Linked DNA regions of Arabidopsis thaliana. The protein of the gene in region 3 interacts with the protein of the main gene of each other region in a pairwise test. Each region holds a gene or a part of one and is shown on either strand. Other genes may lie near its edges.

The links.
Region 1: the proteins of HB53 (region 3) and AT5G12980 interact in a two-hybrid assay, tested with the Arabidopsis thaliana proteins (one large-scale study listed by BioGRID).
Region 2: the proteins of HB53 (region 3) and AT4G12850 interact in a two-hybrid assay, tested with the Arabidopsis thaliana proteins (one large-scale study listed by BioGRID).
Region 4: the proteins of HB53 (region 3) and LBD21 interact in a two-hybrid assay, tested with the Arabidopsis thaliana proteins (one large-scale study listed by BioGRID).

The regions. Positions count from the first base shown.
Region 1 is NC_003076.8:4,104,040-4,110,521, forward strand, and holds AT5G12980 (Cell differentiation, Rcd1-like protein), read right to left. Parts: upstream 4,194-6,482; 5' UTR 4,101-4,193; coding exon 3,933-4,100; intron 3,492-3,932; coding exon 3,420-3,491; intron 3,245-3,419; coding exon 3,155-3,244; intron 3,033-3,154; coding exon 2,990-3,032; intron 2,757-2,989; coding exon 2,650-2,756; intron 2,426-2,649; coding exon 2,330-2,425; intron 2,117-2,329; coding exon 1,926-2,116; intron 1,843-1,925; coding exon 1,773-1,842; intron 1,622-1,772; coding exon 1,523-1,621; 3' UTR 1,344-1,522; downstream 1-1,343. Other genes in the region: AT5G12970 (Calcium-dependent lipid-binding (CaLB domain) plant phosphoribosyltransferase family protein), read left to right, coding at 1-1,262; CLE40 (CLAVATA3/ESR-RELATED 40), read right to left, coding at 5,195-5,296, 5,490-5,536, 5,636-5,729; GSL12 (glucan synthase-like 12), read right to left, coding at 6,406-6,482.
Region 2 is NC_003075.7:7,534,371-7,540,238, reverse strand, and holds AT4G12850 (Far-red impaired responsive (FAR1) family protein), read right to left. Parts: upstream 3,266-5,868; 5' UTR 3,175-3,265; coding exon 2,815-3,174; coding exon of another isoform or gene 2,758-2,814; exon of another isoform or gene 2,158-2,757; coding exon 1,963-2,157; 3' UTR 1,796-1,962; coding exon of another isoform or gene 1,337-1,795; 3' UTR 1,191-1,336; downstream 1-1,190. Other genes in the region: UNE14 (EF hand calcium-binding protein family), read left to right, coding at 1,337-1,795; AT4G12840 (GTPase Der (DUF707)), read left to right, coding at 3,976-4,005, 4,437-4,559, 4,645-4,704, 4,786-4,887, 4,971-5,045, 5,127-5,245, 5,331-5,432, 5,508-5,624 and 1 more.
Region 3 is NC_003076.8:26,632,266-26,637,304, reverse strand, and holds HB53 (homeobox 53), read right to left. Parts: upstream 3,031-5,039; 5' UTR 2,900-3,030; coding exon 2,444-2,899; intron 1,774-2,443; coding exon 1,543-1,773; 3' UTR 1,420-1,542; downstream 1-1,419. Other genes in the region: AT5G66710 (Protein kinase superfamily protein), read right to left, coding at 1-18, 431-696. UniProt on the Arabidopsis thaliana protein: Probable transcription factor that may play a regulatory role in auxin/cytokinin signaling during root development.
Region 4 is NC_003074.8:3,472,411-3,477,198, reverse strand, and holds LBD21 (LOB domain-containing protein 21), read right to left. Parts: upstream 2,278-4,788; 5' UTR 2,164-2,277; coding exon 1,666-2,163; 3' UTR 1,351-1,665; downstream 1-1,350. Other genes in the region: AT3G11100 (sequence-specific DNA binding transcription factor), read left to right, coding at 1-614, 696-709; RLP35 (receptor like protein 35), read right to left, coding at 3,887-4,788.

The DNA.
Region 1 (6,482 bases), about 23 Mb from region 3:
GGCCAACCGCAAAACAGCTATGGAAACCGAGTATCGGACTGCTTGAAGTAGGGATCATAAGTGCACACGGGCTGATGCCAATGAAGTCAAAAGACGGGAAGGGGACAACAGATGCATATTGCGTGGCTAAGTATGGGCAGAAATGGATTAGAACAAGAACAATCGTGGATAGTTTTACGCCTAAATGGAATGAGCAGTACACATGGGAAGTGTTTGACACCTGCACTGTCATAACTTTTGGAGCATTCGACAACGGACACATTCCAGGCGGAAGCGGAAAAGACTTGAGAATCGGGAAAGTGAGAATCCGGCTCTCTACCCTTGAAGCTGACCGTATCTACACTCATTCATATCCGCTACTCGTCTTTCATCCTTCTGGGATCAAGAAGACAGGTGAAATACAGTTAGCTGTGCGGTTCACTTGCCTATCTCTCATCAACATGCTTCATATGTATTCTCAGCCATTACTACCCAAAATGCATTACATCCATCCGTTATCGGTTCTCCAGCTGGACAGCCTGAGACACCAGGCGATGAACATTGTCTCGGCAAGGCTGAACCGCGCAGAGCCGCCTCTTCGCAAAGAGATTGTGGAGTACATGCTCGATGTTGACTCCCATATGTGGAGCATGAGGAGGAGTAAAGCTAACTTCTTCAGAATCATGAATGTTCTGAGTGGTCTCATTGCTGTTGGAAAATGGTTTGATCAGATCTGCAACTGGAGAAACCCAATAACCACAATTCTCATTCATGTTCTTTTCATTATCTTAGTTCTTTACCCGGAATTAATCCTCCCAACGGTTTTCTTGTACCTTTTCTTGATTGGGATCTGGAATTTCCGGTGGAGACCAAGGCACCCGCCACACATGGACACACGGTTGTCCCATGCAGACGCTGTTCACCCCGACGAGCTTGATGAAGAGTTTGATACTTTCCCGACTTCCCGATCCTCTGAGATTGTGCGGATGCGATATGACCGGCTCAGAAGCATAGGAGGACGGGTTCAGACCGTGATAGGCGATCTAGCAACACAGGGAGAGCGGTTTTTATCGCTGCTGAGCTGGAGAGACCCGAGGGCAACCACATTGTTTGTGCTTTTCTGTCTCATAGCTGCTATCGTGTTGTATGTTACGCCGTTTCAGGTTGTTGCACTTCTTGCTGGGATCTATGTGCTGAGGCATCCAAGGTTCAGGCACAAGCTACCCTCTGTGCCGCTCAATCTCTTCAGGAGGCTACCTGCAAGATCTGACAGTCTATTATAGATAAATTTATCTGCATCAGCTTTTGTAAAACGTTTGTTGGATTTAAAAAAACTTTGGGTTTAATGCTTAATTCGGTCTTTTCAATGGAATTTTAGTTATATTGATTGCAACATCATAAGACGGTCAAGAAATCCAAATACATATATCCATCAAACTCAAAATCTTTGGTTGGGTTTCTGTTTCTCATCTGTAATTCTGTTTCCAACTAACTTTTTTTGTCCAATGAATAACAGTTTCTGCCCAGACTATAAGGGTTCGATTTAATTCACAAACATATGAGCCAACCCTTGAGGTGCTCTCCCGCCAACGTTAACGTTGTGGAGCAGTTGCTGCAGCCATTGCATTGCAGGTGGGTCATCCTGCCAAATTAAGTGAGACGATTAGCTAAAAACAGTCAAGTCTCAAGTATCAAAAGAATTGAGTCGTGATAACAATAAACTGATAGATAACAATTTGGTATCAGAATCACTAATAATTGGTTATGATGCTATCAAGAGATATGACACTTACATAGAGACAACCACTGAAAGTAGCATCCCTCAGAAGATCTGGAAGGCAACTTCCAAGTGCATCGCATGCTCTGAATGTCATCAGTAACTGTATTGTGTAAGCACGAGTGTATAATATGGTTTTCAAATGAAGGAAAATGGATAATTATTGCACCTGGGGTTATCTGTCAAGCGAAGATAGCAGCGTATGATGTGCTTTAGTAGCCTAGCGGACGGTCCTTCTGCAAGTGAAGTAACCATATTTCCCAAAACCCGACCCAGAGCAAAGAATCTCTCCGCTGTCGTGCACATGTACTCAAGCCCAACATCGTCCAGCAAAACTTTCTGAACAATGAAAGTAGCAACCTGACATAACCGTTCAAATAAATCAATCAGATGAACTGTACATGACCAAAACCAATCAGAAACATCAATTGCAGAAGAAAACTTATACAAGTTCTTTGTATGAAGCAAAGATTTCAGATATTTGCAACTGGCTGTATAAATGATAGGAAACTTGATATACATTTTTCAAGCATGTGAATCTAAAGAGAAGCATCTGAAGATAGACAAACTTACAGTCTTTGATAACTCGCTGCCATTCTCCATTGTCCGGAGGCACAATGGGACAATCTCAGTTTGAAGAAGGAATCTGATCACTTCAGTATCATCAACCTACCAAACCAAATGAACGATGTTGCAAGACCAATATCACTAATGATGTCTTAACAGGATCTACTCAAAGGTCTTAGCATGCTAAAATCGTTGTTTCTCAAATCACCAAAATATTTATTTACAGCCAAACAGTTGTTAGCATGTAAAAGAAGTGTTCCTGCCTTTTTGGCATAAACATACTAAATAACTAGACGAGGAAACAAAACTCAAATATCAATACATACCTTAACAAGTGCACCAATAACCCCCAAGCTAGTCAGCCGCAGGTACTCAAACGGTCTTGATTTGCTTGATGTATTCAAGAAAGCATACAGGTACAATGGCAGATGGGCTGTATTTTGAAAAGCAACAGACTTTAAACTTTAAGCATATTATAGCCAAACACACATCTAATAAATGAGATCAATCAGAAAGAGACCAACAAGGTGGCTCTTAAAACTAGTTTTGGTAGACGGGTTGGGTATTCAACTAATGCAATCTATCTCTATAACTTTAGTCACAGAGCAAACACCGAAATTATTTGAATGAGAACTAAGGAAGAATTGTTCGGGCACAGGACTGTACCTTTTAGGAACAACATTCTCGTATCAGTATGAGAAGCAACACACTGGATGTACGAAAAAAGAGTCGAATCAATAAAAAATAGAGTCTTCCAAATTGAACATACATATATAAACGTTTGTAAGTCTCCCTAAAAAAGAAAGAGGAAACTGACAATATTTTATGCACCTGAAGAAGAGCAAGTGCATTGCACACCCTGTTAGATTGAGCAGGAGTCATGGTTGGAGGAGATAGGGCAGGGTAAACTGCGATAATCTCCTGAAAAGAGGAAAGAAAGAAAATGACTAGATCTTAACCAATACAATGTACATCAAATCTCAAAAGTTAAAATGCTAAAACTATAACAGTATATAGAGAAGCCAGAAATCAATAAATAAATTCCCCTGAAGAATAAAGGAACAAGTGCCATATAATAACATGGAGGAGAGGGTACCTGTAGAAGAGCAGGAATGGTACCAACAGAATGCCATAAAAGCGGAGCCAAATCTTGAAAGATCTCTCTCTTCTGAAATAATGAAACACGGGATTAGACATGAATTTCAGTGAGAAGAACTTCTTAATGTATGAAATCAAAAGCAATGAGTACAGTAAACATCAAAACCATTTGATTTTTTAATTGTCCAGACGTTTAACTTCAGTGAAGAATCCTCATACCAACTTAAATTGCTCACCAATCGAGATCAACGCCTTAATCAGTGTTGAACTATTTCGATTATTTAATTTCATCCCCTATTCATGCAGGTTTACAATCTCAACAATAATCGTACAAATTCCCTCAAAATTTGCGGCAAGGAAGAATTAGGAGTCGGTAATCTAAAAGCATGTCTACGATTCACCGGACTAAACAACCAAATACATTCGAAATTCCATTCAATAGAACGCAGAAAACGAAAACCCAAACGATCAAAAATTCGCGAGTAAGAGAATTCGGTGAGAGAGAGATGACCTTAGACAACTCGTGAAGTGCATTTTCTCTGAGTTCGGGATTGCTGAGATCGAGAATTAACTGCTCCGCCGATGATAGCTTCCGATCGTTGTTGGAGGAAGAAGAAGGAGAAGAAGCTCCTGAGAGGGCGACAGATTTCATGGAGAGCGGAGGAGGAAGATTAGCCATTAGAGCCCCGTCACCGTTTACACGCGCCGCAGAGAGAATCGCTACTTGTGACAGTGAAAGGAGGAGATGTATTTATAGGACCTAAGGGGGGCGTGTATGTCACGTGCCTCGCTTGCTCCGTTACGGGATTTGTTCAAATCTAAATCTCACGTGACTTGTGAAAAAAAAAAAAAAACTCTCACGTGACTCTCCCGTGCCTCACACAACTTAAGATTCTGAAAGATAGATTATAAGATTTACATGATTCACATTATGACTTAGCTAATGTAGAAGACAATAAAAAAACATAGGTATTTTGATATCAACAAGCCAAAAAAACACACACTATATCTACTTTGTTTGTGGCGCCAAAATAAACTGATTTAATATCTTTATTTATTGCGGTACAATAAATAGTTTAACCGTATATCCTTTTATTTTTGTTTAACATGAATTTGTCGTGTCACTCGGTGTAACATGCAAGGGGAATATGTGGCTCCAAAACTCAACAAGTAGTGGTCGATTGGCTACCGAAACTAATTAAGGTCAATGCAATAATTTTATTGACAAACAATCTAGCATCAACAAATCTATATACAGTCACAAAATTAGAACTAGATACACCATATTGTCCTTATAAAGAAAATATATCTTACCGTTTTAAAACTAAAATCAGACAAAATTCTAGTACAAAACCTTAGACAACCAATCTACCACTTCACATCCAAAAGATCGGTTTTCCCAAGTTTCTTCTAGAAACAAATGTCACAGAATAATTAATTGTGATTTGATACCAACTTAAAACACTCTAAACCCAAAATTTATATATACAATTGATGTCACGAATGCTTCCGACTTCATCTTGAGAACTAACTCATCACAAAAATTGAATTGGAAGTTGTTACGCTTTGGCATCTTTCCAAAGCATCCACAAAATCTTGGCTGAAGTAATTGAAATACTCTATAGTAAATAACGAAGTTAATCATTTTCAACCTGAAATAGAAATTTAACATTCGGATAAACAAAACTCAAAACTAGAATGTGAAAAGCATTACAAACTAATATGTCAACAATGGGAAACAGAAGATACAGAAAAAAGATATAAGGAATGAATCTATGGAGTAAAAGGAATGTGTTTATGATGAAGAGGGTCGGATCCAGTTGGAACTTGTCTTTCTTCAACTTCATTAGCTGTTCCTCCATCAATCTTCTTCTCCTGTTTTCAGTACCAAAACAAAAAATTAATCATCTTTGCATCAAAATCATATAGAAAAATACAAACGAATATCAAATGCAAAGAGCTAGCTAGAAAACAAAAAGTTTCATACTTTTTATTGTAAAAATAAGAAACGAATTGTTCATTTCCTTCAAAACAGTCGCGTTGTGTTTCTAGGAAGAGATTTTCTTACCTTTTTCATGGCTTTCGTATCTTGTGTTTCTCCTAACCAAAAGAAGGCTAGAAACAAAAAGAACAAAGAGGATTGATTCATCATGTTTTGAACCCAAACGATGAATAAAGATGAGAATATTATTAAACATATCACATGACACTTACATTTTGTAGAAGAAGAGTGAGCAAGTAGTGAGGACGAAAGAAGAAGGATGACTAATATGATAAAAACGCTTCCTTTGTATTTCATCGCCGCCATTTCAAAAACCTCTTTGTGGTAAGAGTCTCGACAAGAGTGACGAGAGGTGTGTCGTCGTCTAATAAGGTGAAAGTTCCGGGTTTTAACCTCGTTTTACAGCTTTGTTGGGGCCAAATCCGTCATTTTGGTTGTTCTTTTTGGGATGAGATTTAAGCTGTACGGACACAGATTACCGTTTACAGGCTGGCTCGAACCAAGACAAATTATCATTCTCGTACAAATGTCGTGGTGCCACGTATCGCCGCCACGTCTCCGCTTATTTGTCGAACCAAACATTGTCACAACTTCCCGCCATTTTTTAAGTTGTCTTTCAACGAAGCAGAGGAAACTAGGGCTAATCCTTCTTAGAAGATCGTGGGCTTTCCTTATCGGCCCATTAATGAACCCAGTTGGTAACTAGGGAATTTTTGAAAGCTTTGTTGTCGCTGTATCTTATAGGCCAAGCAAAAGTTGTTAGTAAGTTCCTTATCTTCCTCGACATGGACCAATGGAGGTCTTCAACTAAATAATTAAACAGTCATTAAATGATAGATAACGTCTAATTTATAGATGAATACTACAATGTTTTTACCTAAGCGATATATTGAAAACTAAATTACATTAACCCTAATCATCCATGAAGATAAAAAAGGGATAAATTAAGATCCCTTCCCTGTCATTACAATGAAGAGATGAATCATTCCTTGTTTCGAGAAGAGCGATCCTTACGATGACCTCCAAGGATACGAGAGATCTGAAGACCTCTACTGAAAG
Region 2 (5,868 bases), on a different chromosome or scaffold from region 3:
TATTATTGAATTAAAATGTCATAAGATATAATGTAATTTGTAACACGTTTGATATGAATATTCATGTTTTCAGATCTGACAGTGAGAAGTAGGGGTGGGTATAATACAGAACCCGATTACCCGATCCGAACCCGATCCAAAAAACCATATTCAAAACCAACCCAAAATTTATGAATACCCGAACGAGTTCTAAACTTCTAAATCCTAAAACCCGAACCCAATCCGAACCCGAACAGATATTCGAACATATCCACAATTTAAATACATATTATATATATATATATATACGAGTGGCCCATTTTGAACAGGAACATGAATTTGATATTAACTCAAAGATAATCACTATGCAAGAAGAAAGGTCAAACATAAACCCTTGTGACCTTGAAGATGTGAGCAAAAATTCATGTGAAGACCACGCTTGAGGAAAATTCAAGTGATCGAGATGTTGCTAATTCTTGTTCTTTTGCAACCTTAGAATCAGGGACAGAGAGTGTACAAACACTTAGAATGAGTCTAGAATCAGGGACAGAGAGACCCATAAGACATGCTTCTCAACATTTCTGGTGCATTAAACGCTTTTGTTGTTGCTTATTAACCTTTTTTTTGTTAAAATTGTTGCTTATTAACCTTGGTAAACAATGCATGCATCAAAAAATGAAGTTGATATTCAGCTTGATCTGAAGAGTGTTCTTTACTCAAGGTGTTGTAAGAATCATCATAAACTTAATAGTTAGAACTAGGGTTGGTTTAGCTTATCTATTGTGTGTTATTTTCTTGAGTATATTTGTGAAGAATTACATCCAACCTATCAATTGGCTACTTATGTAAAAAGTACTCAAGGTTTATGAATGGGTTAAGGAAGCTAGATACTTACAAGGTCTCTTTTTTACGATTTTACGTGGAAGGTTGATTGCAACAAATTTCATAGTTTAATTCTTTTGTTTATCAACCTACAAATGAATATTCGATGTAATTCAACATGCTACTATTTCGTGTCTCCATTGCTCGGCGAGTAATTATGGTTAAACTAGTGGGGTTCTCCTTAATTGTGTCAGAATTAGATGATTCATAGAGTCTATTTCAAGGCATATATAACTATTTTTAGCCTGAAAAATGAAAGATCCAAAAGTGTTGAATCTATCAACAGAATCCGTTAAGCTCTCTCTCATCTGTCTTTTCTTTTAGTAAAATTTTCTGTCTTCTCACGACGTCCTGTTTTGTTTAAACTGTTACAAGATTTCACTTGCTTAGGCTTCCTTTTAGAATCTATGTGTTGATCTTGATTCTTCTTCTCCATTAGTTTTTGGCTTAAAGATCATCAAGGTTTCAATAAAGAATGGATCGTGGAGAATTGAGTAGAGTGTTCCAAATGTTCGATAAGAATGGAGACGGGAAGATTGCGAAAAACGAGCTGAAAGACTTCTTTAAAAGCGTGGGAATCATGGTCCCTGAAAATGAAATCAATGAGATGATAGCAAAGATGGATGTGAATGGAGACGGGGCCATGGATATCGATGAGTTTGGATCATTGTATCAAGAAATGGTGGAAGAGAAAGAGGAAGAAGAGGACATGAGAGAAGCCTTTAGAGTATTTGATCAGAATGGTGATGGGTTCATTACAGATGAAGAGCTGAGGTCGGTGCTCGCGTCAATGGGGTTGAAGCAAGGGAGAACACTTGAAGATTGCAAGAAGATGATAAGTAAGGTTGATGTTGATGGAGATGGTATGGTTAATTTTAAGGAGTTCAAACAAATGATGAGAGGTGGTGGATTTGCTGCTCTTAGCTCCAATTAAACATTCCCTTTTTTTAACAATAATTTTTGTATAGATAATTGTATGTTTTGAATTTGCCTAATTAACACTAGTTTTCTGCTAAAATAATTGAATGTTCAATGCTAGGACAAACTATGATCTAAGGAGGAGCAATCTTCGGTATTTTTCGACAAATGCTTATAGATGAATCAAGCTCTTGTTTGTATTTGACATTCAAGTTTCTTAACATTCTCCACAATATCTCGAACTTTAAGTGACAATTCTTCCGTATAATGTTCAACATTATCGATAAAACTCACCAATCGATCCCGATACACATCGCATAATCGGTCCTGACACTCGATCTCCTCCGTAAGCTCTTTAATCTTCCTTTCCTTATCAGCCTACAAAAATAGTAACACAAATCTCTCTGCATCAATCATCCAATTCTTGTAATATCAAAGCAAAAAGACCAAAAAGATGCAAACTTGGAAGACGTACAAAGGAAAATCAAGTAACCAAGTCTTGTAATAGCAAATTAAGACCCAAAGATGCAAAAAAAAAAAAAAAAATGTAACATAAACCTCACTTTCTTCAAGCAACCAAGTCTTTGTAATAGCAAATCAAGATGACCCAAAGATGCAATATATGAAGACGTACAAAGGAATTTCAAGTGTTTGTAATGGCAAATCAAGTAACCAAATCTTGCAATAGCAAAACAAGAGACAAAGCTGCAGAAACACAGTAACAAAAATCTCTCTTTTTCAACCACCGAAGTCTTGTAATAGCAAAACAAGACCCAAAGAATCAAAATTTGACGACTCAAAGATGCAAAAAACAATAACACAAATCTCTCTTCATCAACCAACCAAGTCATGTAATAGCAAATAAAAAAGACCCAAAGATGCACACTCTTTCTTCAACACATCAAGCCTTGTAGTAGCAAACAAGAACCAAAGATGCAAAAAACAGTAACACAAATCTGTCTTCTTCAAGCATCCAAGTCATGTAATAGCAAAGCAAATCAAAAAGACCCAAAGATACAAACTTTGAAAACGTACAAAAGAATCATAAGAAGAAGACCCAATGAATTGAAGAGAGTGATTGTGTTCTTTGATGAATCTAGTAACAACCCATTTCCCAGATTTCTCCATTTTCACCAAAATCGTAGCTTTGCAACCTTCTCGTGAACTAGAACTAGAACTAGATGATCGTTGATTATTAGGACCAAAGCCTTGCTTGTTACAACCTAATCTTCTCGCTAGTGTTCTTCCATCAATACCTGATCTTCGTCTCTGCATCATACGCACAACAAACCCTAATCTTTTGGAGTATTCTACATAGAAATCTTTAGCTTCTTCTTCTGATTCGAATTTCAAACCTACGTAAGGTTCATCAAGTTTCAGATCTCCGGTCATCATCGGAATAAGCCAGATCCAACTCACAAAACAAAACCCTTTATGGATCGAGTTCGTTAAGTTTCAGATCAAGCTCTGTTAATCCGGTATGTTTGATTCACGAAATTAATCCGGTTCTATTTTCCTAAAACTTAATCCGGTTCGATTTTTCTGAACATTAAACCGGTTTAATGTATCTTACGAACCGGTTTAATGTATCTTACATTGCTCCTCATATACCTTAATCCAAATTTTATTTTCTTCTTCAATGTAGATGTAAATGAATAACTTTATCCTATAAAGATAAATTTGACCCTAAAACAATTTGTATAATTTTCCGAGTGAAAAGAAAATTATTTGTTATATTATTCACCCTAATTTTCTTAGATCTTTTCTCTTGTAACAAATCTAAGCAAAAGCTGGTCACATGGACATCGCATCATACGTTACTTATATAAAGTGGAGAAATGCATAGCAAAACAATACACGTGCGAACCTTTAATGACATTTGGTCACTCATTTTAAGCCATAAAAACCTTCTTTTGCGACGATTCCTACACGCAAATTTCGATTTCGAATTTAGTAAAATATCACTTTTGTTTAAAACGGTTGACTTGTTGACCTTCTTACAGTAATTGCTTTCATACCCAATTTTATTTTATTTTCCTATTCGAAGCTAACTTTAAGGAACTAAAGTAGTAGTTATAATTTTGTAAAATAACCAATTCTGACAAAAATAAGGTATTCTAACACTATGACTCTACACTTTACTTATTTGATTTTAAAGAAAGAGCTTCGCTATATTTAGACCACTGTTCTTGAAAAATGAACAAGAAACCCAAGATTTTGAGCTCTGTAAGCTTTTTTCTCTTGCTCTTCGTTCTTTTCTTCTTGTCTTGTTTAGTTCTTTTTGTTTGTCTCCCATTTTGCCATTTCTGGATTCAAAAGTTGTCGAAATAAACCAAAAAAGTTCTGAAATTTCATTAGCTCAAGAATCCAATTGAAGTTTTCAATCATGAAATTTCAAGTCTTTTATCTTCTTCATGTGTTGATGTTCTACTTATATGCCCATTCTCTACGAAACTGTGGATCGTTATGAGTTTACACAATTAAAACTCTCAAGTCTTTCACAATCTTGAATCTTTATTGTGGCATTGTTGTTCAATGAGATCATACTACTTTCCCTATTAATGTCATTTTGTGTGTGTTTGGGTTTAAATACTGATTAGGTTCTTGTGATTTGAGTTTAATGTGTTATGGATCTTCTTTATTCGTTGCCTTTTCAGGGATCATTAAGTATGAATCAAAAACGAAAGGGCTTGTCTCTTCGTCGCTTGTTCTCTTTAGTGTTTTTTCTTGCAATGATCTTCCTTATAGGGAATGCTTTTATTACAGTAGACTATAAAGAGGTATGAGTTCTTAGACTGCAACTTTTAAGCATTATCTTGAATCTGAATAATGTTATAGAACAGTTTTGAGTGTACTAATTGACAGGGTATCGCGGGATGGAGTTCGATAATTAGACTAAATCTTGCTAAACTAAAGATGTGCAAGGTCTGTTGAATAAGCTGCTCAAAACAAAGTTCCCTTTCTATATGAATCTTAACATTTTTTCATGTTGCTTTGCTTAATTAGACACAACTTAGGCCTCCTGGTAGCGAGACGTTACCGCGAGGTATTGTTGCAAGTACATCTGACTTGGAAATGCGACCGTTATGGGGAGCAAAGCGCGATAAGGTATCTTTACCTGTTGCCAAACGTTCACAAGTTTCTCTGTTGTCATTCCTTTAACGCTATATTTTCTGTTTTTGTTTGCTTAGAAACCGAAACCAAGCTTATTAGCTATGGCAGTTGGAATAAGACAAAAGGAAAGTGTCAACAAGATTGTCAAGAAGGTAAAACCTCGGACATTACCTTCTCGGTAATGAAACAGTTTTGATGTGATATCTCTGTTTTTCCACTTTCTTATATGGCAGTTTCCATCAAGTGAGTTTGTTGTGATGCTGTTTCACTACGATGGTGCTGTGGATGAATGGAAGGAGTTTGAGTGGAGTGACACTGCCATTCATATTTCTGTAGTAAACCAAACCAAATGGTAACTGTTCTGTTATAATCGTAAAACCCGACGAGGATTTTTTACATTTGGCTGTACAGTTTGAATATGTTTGTGACTCTTTTAGGTGGTTTGCAAAGCGTTTTCTACACCCGGATATTGTCTCAGCTTATTCTTACATTTTTCTATGGGATGAAGATCTCGGTGTTGACCATTTTGATGCTAGAAGGTACAATGTTATACAAAGAATATATTGTTTGTCACTTGGTAAAGATGTGGTATCTAATGAGATGAAAATTTTCAGGTATGTTTCAATTATTAAAGAAGAAAAGCTTGAAATATCACAACCTGCTCTTGATCCCAATTTCTCTGAAGTGCATCATCAACTTACCTCACGAGACAAGAAATCAAGAGTACATAGGTACTTCTCTCAAGCTCCAATAGAAAAAATTTTAGCAAAGAGAAGAAAAGAGATTGTAAGAATGAATCTTTTTACAACGTTTTGATGTTTAAAAGGAGAACATACAAAGTCATTGGTCGGGCGAGGTGCAACGAGAATAGCACTGGACCTCCTTGCACAGGGTAAAAGAACTGAATCTTCATTTCCTTCTTCAGTGGAAAGCATAACTTGTTCTTAAACTCATTAAAAAAAACTCTCTCCTACA
Region 3 (5,039 bases):
GGGACAACTCTCCTGAACCTATAATCATGGATAAAGAAATGTTCTTTAACCCATATCCAAATTCCAAAAATCAGTAACAAGTATGCCACAATACAAAGATTACTCATTCAAACACCCACATCAGAATCTTCCTTCTTATTGTAATTCATGGTTTCTCTGTAACATTAATCCTTTTTTGAGGCATTGTGTAGGAAACACTAGAGCTGAGACTACATAAACCTAAGAGTGACAAAACCTAACACTAACCAGCATGAAAGATTCCAAATTTCAAGGTTAAACCCAAAATTAAATCACCAATATACCCTGAAACCTATACTCTTCGAATAAATACCGAAATCAAGAAAGGATAAACAGGAAAACAAAATCTGCAATTTTTGCACCAAACCCAGAAGCAATTTCGAAGTAGGAGATTGAGAAACGAGAAACCCACAATCCTCTGTAGACAGTAGATGATGAACCTTCGCCGATGAAGTCCCCTATAGATATGTCTTTGACATCGACAAGCAACTCTGTGTTGATAGTGAAAGCGAATTGATCGTTGGAGGAGTCGGAGTCGTCGTCTTCGTCGTCCGATTCAAAGGACTTGAGACCATGAGAGGACATGAGAAATGGGTAATTCGGATGAAGCGTCTTATCCGTCGGATAATCTGTTGGTTTCTGCATTGACGGAGCTCGTTGATACCCGCGAGGTCTCATTTCTGGAGTGAGCGATGAAGACGACGCTGAGTAAAAAGTGTGACGCTCTATATTTATACACCCGAAATGTTTGGGGTGTTTCTGTTAACTCTATAAAATAAGAGGGCTTTTCTGAAAAAGTAATATTTTTCAAAAAGGGCTCTCGATGTGGAACTGGAGGGAAAATAAGGAAAGACTTTATTATAATATCGTCTACGAAATAACAAATTCAAACATATTTCATTTCTATTCTTTTTTTTTGTAATATGCGTCTGTAATATAGATAAACTTATATATGAAGATTGTTGACCAATATAAAGATTTATGAAGGAAGAAACTATAATAATTGTGGTAGGTTTTGTTCTGATAATGATTAATTTGATAAATTAACATGAATGTATTAGTAGATTACATAAATTTATCTTAGTCCTTTAAATATCTAGATCTAATAAATTCGTTCTACCTCCATCTTTAATAACAACTTAATCTGGTTGACAATTAAGGAACTTTATCTATACAGGATTTTTAATAAATTCTTGAATAAGCTATTTGAGTAATGAAATCAAGAGTTTCTATGTCGGCTGGATATAAATAACAACTGTTTGGTAACTAATTAATTGTATACTGAACATTAATAATATCTTATGATAAATGAGCAAATATCAATATATGTTACCTTTTTTTTTTTTGAAAGATTTATATATATGGAACTAGAAGAAGCAAAGTGATAATAAACAAAGTAATATATTAAAATAAATACTGAAAACAACACATAATTACAACCGTTTCACCAACACCTATTTCTACATTACTTATAATAACATGAGTTGCATCAATAAAGCACGAGATATTTAGTTGATAAACTGATTATACATACAAACCATCCCAATACTCCATGCTTTGTAAATAATTATTATCTAACATATAAAACGGGATGTTATAATTAGTTTCCGGGGCAAGCTCGAAATCAGTTGGTGCATTGTTGGCTTCAACAGAAAGCGATGAACTTGAACTGTTGGTTGGCATTTCTTCAAGTCGTTCCGACAGTTTTCGAATTTCACTTTGAGCTTCACTCAATTGTTCTGTTAGTTTCAATATCTACAACAGCAAAAAAATACATCATTAGTTAATACCATAGTTAATCACTATGTGAAGAAGAAAATCTTATATAAAACTCTTATTTAGTACCTAGATAAACAAAAATAAGAGTAATTTTGTTAACCAAAAAAAAAAGATATATTTTACTACCAATTCAGTGAAATAAATAGTGTTTTAATACAATGCAAAGTTAATGTCAAAAGAAAAAAATTGTTATAAATTAATTTTGTTATTCATCAAATGAGGAGGATATTTTCTGGCATGTCAGCCCAAATGCAGAGAAGGGTTTTTTACGTGGCATTAAATGAGTGGGCAACTGTAAATGGGCCACTCATGAGCCCAACTGAGATTGTACGGACGGAACTTTTTTTTTTTTTTTAATGGTGGATAAGAATGAGATGACGAAATATCCCACTTTATTATATTTGTGGTGTGGTCCCAAACATGTGTTTTTTAGCTAGCTACCGGATTTTCACTAGTTGTAAAATTCGATTCAACTACATTTCACATATGTGTAATAAATACTCAAAATATACTAATTGACGAATAAACTATATGTTAATTATCTAAGAACGGATAAAATTACTCATCTTTCGAAAAAACAAGCAACATGAAATTAAGAATCACCAAATTTACTCTGTTTTATAGTGAAAAAACATAAAATTTATACCTGAGACTCGAGTTGGCATTGGCCGAGTACGACGTTGTCGTGGTGGTTTTTGAGTTTGGCGTACTCTTCCTCTAGTTTCTTGTTCTTCCAACGTGCACGGCGGTTCTGGAACCAAACAGCCACCTGTCTCGGGTCAAGACCTAACTCTCCGGCGATCTTCTCCTTCCTCCCTGACTCCAGCTTATGCTCGTTCCCGAAGCTATATTCGAGCATGTTCACTTGTTCATCGGTCAACTTCCTCTTCCTCAACATCCCTCCGATCTCCGCCACGTCTTCTTCGTTGGTGGCTGATGAACCTTTACTCCTCCTCTTCCTCCTCCGCTTCACCGGTTTTGATTCTTCGCCTCCATCGATCTGGTTAACGATGATGCAGTGTGAATTTTGGGGTTGGGTCGTGTAGGGGTACACTTGAGAGCCTAGCATCATTTGATCATCCATTAACCTACCATGATCCATTTTCTCTCTCTAGTTTTTCAGACAAGAGTTGCTGTTTTCTCTGACTGTGTTTAAAGGAGAGTGATGCAATAGGATATGACTTTGGTGAGGTTGAGTCCTATGAGATGCTTTTTATAACCTCAACGACTGTGACCCCTTATTCTTGGGTCGTCTTTCCCTTTATTTACACTTATGCCATCTGTTTTTATGTAAAAAGATGTAATTGAATAAAGAATCATTAATTGTGTGGTATGCATGTATGAGACGAATTGGATATACATATACTTTTCTATTTTTATGTTTAATGGGATGTACTTACCCTAAATGAGAGAATACACTTGCATGGTTACATTTCTTCCAGATATACTTGTTCTCTAGATTTTTGCACAATGTACAAACGTAGTTAAAAGTGGAGAAACATTTTGTTTCACTTGATCCAAATTATGAAATAATTTATCCAACAAGAAAACATGTATCTGTTTTGTTAAGGCAAGATATATTTGATGGAAATTTTTGGATGTTTAAAATTTTCATTTTAACTTTATATAAAAGAAATGTTTGTTGGTTATGTTTCAAAATATTTAAGAGCTTCATTCTTTTTGATCAGATATTTTTAAGAACTTCATGTAACGAAAACATTGTCGCATCCCATCAGAATAAGTAAACATAAAAATAAGGTGGCTGACGACAATTCTGGACAAGAGACGTGGTGTGGATCCCGAAGATGACCAAATTTTGGAGGAAGTAGTAAACAAGCGATCCGATCATTTGTGGATAACTATTGGGTATATATGTATAATATAACATAAACTGTCTTTGTCTTTGGTTATTTTAGTTTTTACTGTTAATTAGTCAATTTTGTAGGTTATTTTTTCTTTGTTTTCGGAGCTCGAGACCACTCATTTTCCTTTGAAAAGCAGTGTGCTCCTCTTTTTCCCATCTTTCCTATAGATTATTATTTTACACCAGTGACTAGGAGTCTATAACCACGAATCTTCCCGAGTTTTCTTTCTTTATATTTAAACATTGTACTCTATTTTGTCGTCTTCAACAGTGTTATAATATTCCACACCATGCGATTAATTGAACATAGCCTGCTTTAATTTACTTTGTACGTATACGAAACATATTTTTAAACCCTTCTCTTTGTACCATTTTAACGAAATTTCTTCAGCCATAGATTATCATGTAATGTGTTGACACAAGACAACTTACGTATCATCGACGTTGCAGGTCTTTGAGATTAAGGTCCTATTTTGGTGTATGAGAATTATATATACGTCTGTTATAGTTGAACTAGTATTTCTTGATCAAGGAGGAAGTTAAGGTTCCGAGTTTGAGACACAACAACGGGAGGATAAAGATTGGCCATAAGGAGCAAAGACATAAACGCTTTCATGCCTTCATTACTTCGTACCAAAAACCTTAAATTATATTCCTTACAATTTGTTTAGTACATTTAAGGGAATGAATAATGTGGTGGAATAATTAAAGATTGGCCACAAGCAGCAAATACATTAAAGCTTTCACACCTTCGCTCACATGAATTTGGAATGCATGTTTAAAGAAAAATTTAAAACACCACACTTGCACAAAATAACCAATAAAATGAGTTGAACACATGTTATGTTAATAATTCTATTATGTTTGTTCAACATGTTTTGGTCAATCTCTTCTATCATAACCATATATTGCTTTCGTTTTTAGCATCATGTTCTGCACTATCCTTTATCACCATTCGAACACTAAAATTATATTAAATTTGTGGAAGGCTTAATTAGTAGAAGGGTACGTGGTTTTTTACAATGCCTTGCTTTCGATTTGTAAGGTGTTCAACCCTAGCTTCTAAAGGAGAAAAAAACATATATACAGAATTGACACGACTGATTGGTTTAAAATAGTATATGATAAAATATAGCAGTCAACACTTTTCATCTTAAAAAACGGTCACTTGATACATAAGGTTATAGTGTGCCTTTTTAGGTGAGTAAAAGAGAGATAGTAATGTGTGGGCAACGAACACGAATCATGGGAAGGTATATAATTAGGAAGAACTAAATAATTCACAGAAGAAGAAAAATAAAAACAATGTATTCCGACATTGAGTGACGGCTATGCACGTGAAGTTCACGTGGACTTCAAAGAGGGACGAGGATAAAAT
Region 4 (4,788 bases), on a different chromosome or scaffold from region 3:
CAACCGGGGAAATCTCCGGCAAAACGATTGGAAAGAAGTCGCCGACGCCGTCAATTCAAGCCACGGGAATGGCCGGCCAAAGACCGATGTACAGTGCAAAAACCGGATCGATACGTTGAAGAAGAAGTACAAAACTGAAAAGGCGAAACCTTTATCGAATTGGTGCTTCTTTGATAGACTCGATTTCTTAATCGGTCCGGTTATGAAGAAATCGTCCGGTGCTGTTGTTAAATCGGCGTTGATGAACCCTAATTTGAATCCTACTGGATCTAAATCAACTGGTAGCTCTCTCGATGACGATGATGATGATGATGATGACGACGAAGAAGATGATGATGATGCGGGTGATTGGGGATTTGTGGTGAGGAAGCATCGTAAAGTTGAAGATGTAGATTCGAGTGAAGGATCAGCCTTTAGGGAGCTAGCGAGATCGATTCTGAAGTTAGGGGAAGCGTTTGAGAGAATCGAGGGGAAGAAGCAACAGATGATGATTGAATTGGAGAAACAGAGAATGGAAGTTGCAAAGGAGCTTGAGTTACAACGAATGAATATGTTGATGGAGATGCAATTGGAGCTTGAGAAATCTAAACTTGGGAAACGAAGAGCTGCTTCAGGTAAAGTTTTCATTTTTATGTGTGTTTTGTTGTGATTGATGAGTTTACTGAAACTTCAGTTGTGCTTTGTTTGTTGTATAGGTAAGAAGTTGTAGGATTGTAGATTGTGGAGGAGTTACTGATGTGAAGCAAGGAGCAATGGTTGGATCTAAAGCTCATACGATTTGGAGAAGATGTTATTATTATTGATCTTTAGGTTTTCTTAAGTTATAGCGCGATGCTTTTTTTCTTCTTCTTCTTTTTCATTCTCTTTTTTAGCATTGTAGAGTTACATTGGTAGTAGCAATGCGAATTACCAAAAGAACTCTCATAGTATCTGACATATCAAGATGTACTTTTGTGAAGTATCAATGTATGATGGTTTGTGTATCAGTGTCTGCAGTTCCAAATTGTGCTCATCTCTCTTTCTGTGATCTGCAATTACTCTTTTGCTTAGGCAGGTTTCAGGAATGTGTACAGACTTAACAAGATGCGTAGAACGGTTCTGAGGAGAACTCTTATCAGAGTCATTCATAATTCAGTTTGGAATTTGATCAAACCCACCAAGCTATTGATTTGGATGTTTGCTTATGTGACTTTGCTGCACTCTGGAATCTCCAGGACAAGACTCTTGTGGCCTGAGGGAGACGAGTTGACACATGAGGCTGTATTATTGGAGCCTCAAAAAAGAACATCATAGAAGCATATATATCAATGTTTCATGTTTGGTAGAATTTCGGGATGACATAAGCATGTGCTCTCCTATTCATACCTGACTTACAAAGAAGCTCTTCATCTAAAACACCTCACTTTACTCACCTTGGCCTACCACTTGGTCCAAAACTGGTAAGGACTCTGACCTTCCAAGGCTCATCTTGTACCTGAGTTATCTCATCGCATGTGATGGTTACTTTTGAAGTTAAAACCCTTTTTCATACATATGATGAAGTAAGCATCTGATTATGCATACTGGAATTCATACATTAGGGACAGACTTTAGATTGTCAAAGATAACTTGTAAAGCAAAGTGCAAATACAGCTGATAAAGAGATATATGATAGAGAGATAAGGCCTATACAAAAGGAGGCTGTCCAAGATCATACAAGTAAGCATCAAGATTAGTAGACCCATCAAGCAACATCAAGTCACTATAAGGTACAAGATCAAGAAAAGCAGCAAGCTCAGGAGAATCATCCAAAGGGGACACTTGGCTGTTGTTGACCCCAGAATGGGCAAGTAGTCGAGTGCGAGCAACAGCTAGATCGTGTTGAAGCTCGAGCATCTTCTTCTGCAGAGACGCTATGGCTCCAATGCAACCGTAAACAGGATCCTTGAGACGAACCTCAGCTTCATAAGCCAAGGAGTTAACGGTTTCTTGTCTCTGTTCTTCAGGAACTTCACCGAGAAGCTTACTGACGTTGCTGGCTCCAAAGACTTTATGGACTTTGGCGAAAGTTATCAAGTCACTTGAGCGGAAATAAGGAGCGAAAATGCAAGTGGGTGTGCATCGTCTCTTCAAGAGCTTGCAGGCTGCACAAGATGAGCTTGATCGTGGCTCATGCCCTCTCATCTCAAACTTTTTGTTTGTTTGTTTTGATTTTTTGGTGGTAAATGTTAGGCTCTCGTTTTTTCTAAGTTTTATCTCGTGCTTCCTTTATATATTGATAAGAGTCTTTTAACTTTTTGTGAAGAAGAGTGTTTTTGAAAGTAATAGAGAGAAGGAAACAAATGGGACAAGGCATGGGCCTATTCATCATTTGTGTTGGCTTTGAGCTTTTCCTTGCTAATTACATGATTGGTCGTGAGTTCGAGTCCATAAATCATAATCATATATTGAAAAATCAAAGGTACTATAGAGATAGAGAGAGTTAAAGTAACAACACATCAGCTAATTTTCTCTTTTATAGAAGAAGAAACAAGAGAAGCAAGACTTTTGGATTAGTGGAAACAAGTCAATCAAGCAAAATACAAAATAGCTTTCACTTTGCTCCAAATTGAAGAGGAAATTTCTTACAAAGTGGGCACCAATATAGAACTGAGCTTATATCACTTTTTGTGGTTCTTATTGTAGATTATACATAGCTTAAGCAAAAGAAAGTCAAATAATAAAATAAATAAAATCACAGGTAGCATATAAAAATTGGAGTGTGGAAATGGAGAAGACAAGACATTTGACAAGAAAAGTGAGAGAATGAGAAGCCCACCACCATCACCACCGTCCCCTTCACTATCCATTTTCTCTTCTTTCTTTGGCTTCCTCTTCTACTCATCATTCATTTTGGTTGTGAATTTATACCAATAACAAGAAAAACTTAACTCAAAACTTAAAATTTCTTTTGTTAAATCAAATATTCATAAATCTTAAGGACCTTAAATCTTTTAACCTTTATAATGAGTACACAAAACGATAATATTGTTATCTCTTAACCTTTGTGAATGAGTATAAATATACAAACAAGTAATGGTTTAAAGAAATTGCTAGTAGCAACTTAAAAAGAATTGTCATTTACTTAATTAAATCTTCTTATCTTGTCATTTCATAAATTAAATCGTAATATGTAATGCTTTCCATTCCTTTTCCACTATGGATTATAATCCCATAGGCTTACCTAAACTTTTCTAGTAGTTCACAGAGCTTAGCATATAATCACTCCCTTTCCTTAAGCCATTACCAAAAACCCAAAAACTCATCATCAAAACACACTTCTCCATTCTCGTATAAACTACTTGAAAATGTCGAGAATGAAACAGCTTGCTGCTGCAAAATAGCAGATAAATGTCTAATAAAGAACCAGACACAACTGACTTCAAATATATCCATGTATAAGGTTTAGTTTATCAAAATACAGTAAAAATGGCTTTTTGATCAAATATTCCCCAATTCTATAATTGCTCTGTATTTCTGCGTCTTAATTGATACGAACAAATAGACATACATTTTTAGATACGAGAGTGCAATGGGGAAAGAAATGATAACAACAAACTCGCGGGAAAAAACAACTTTACATGTACATCTAAAGAGCGAAAAACAGAGTTGTTCAATTACAAAGTTGGCTAAAAACAGAGTAGAAGAGAAAAACACAAGCTAAACCGGAAACAATCTGGATTTGAAAATGGCTAAAAGAGTGGTTGGTTAACGTCAAGGAGTTCGTCCGGTTACTTTGACTTTCCTCTTCCAGATTATTCAGATAGGTTATAAGCCTATAACAACGAAAATAAGTTGTTAAAACAGAAATAAAATTCATTCTGATGGAAAGCTACCAAACTCGTTCAAAAGTCGGAACATTACCTCTCTAGTGGGTGGTGGTGTTTCTGCGTCGACGATTGTTTCGGCCAAAAGGGTTCATGAACCACTCTGGTTTGTAGGAAACCAATATGTATCCAATCGTTAATCCAAAGACAATTCCAGGTATGAATCCTATTGCGGCTGCTATCCAGCTTATCTCTTCTTCGTCTTCTTCCTCTGTTTCTGTCGTTTCATTCTGTTGTGATGCTGGCGTATGTTTATCTCTGCAGACTTCGTCAAGAGAAGGGCCAAAAAGTCCCAGGTTATTCTCAAAGGCAGAGCAATTTTGCCTTCGAAACTGCGTACCTCCTGGTACTAGGCCTGCAAGCTGGTTATGAGAGAAGTTCATATACGCAAGGAACGAAAGGTCCCCTAGCTCTTGTGGAATCTCTCCTGTAAGCTTGTTCTGGGAAACGTCCAATGACTCGAGAGCTGTCAGGTTCCCCATAGATGATGGGATGTGGCCACCAAAAGCATTGTTTGACAAGTTGAGCACGAGAAGCTCTTTCAATAGACCAATGGACTTTGGAATCTCTCCTTCAAATTTGTTTCCGGAAAAGTCGAGTGCTGTGTAGATTGTTAGAATACGTACCAGCTCCATCGCTAAACCTTTATTCATCAAAACCATTGAATCTTGGTAGTAAAGGCCTGATCCCATGTACTTTTCGTTAGACTGGTCTTCGTTTTTTCCAAGTGATGACATAGCACTCCACTTCACAAAGTACTCTGTTGGCAAAGTTCCATTGAAGTGATTATGTGATATGTCAATGATTCGCAACTCAGGGAATGTGGCTTCATGTATTGGTCCATGGAATGCATTGGAGCGTAATACAAGAACTTGTAACTTCGACAGAGAACTCAACCAGAACGGAAACGTGTCGTTGATTCTGTTGCTTTCCACGTTCAAAA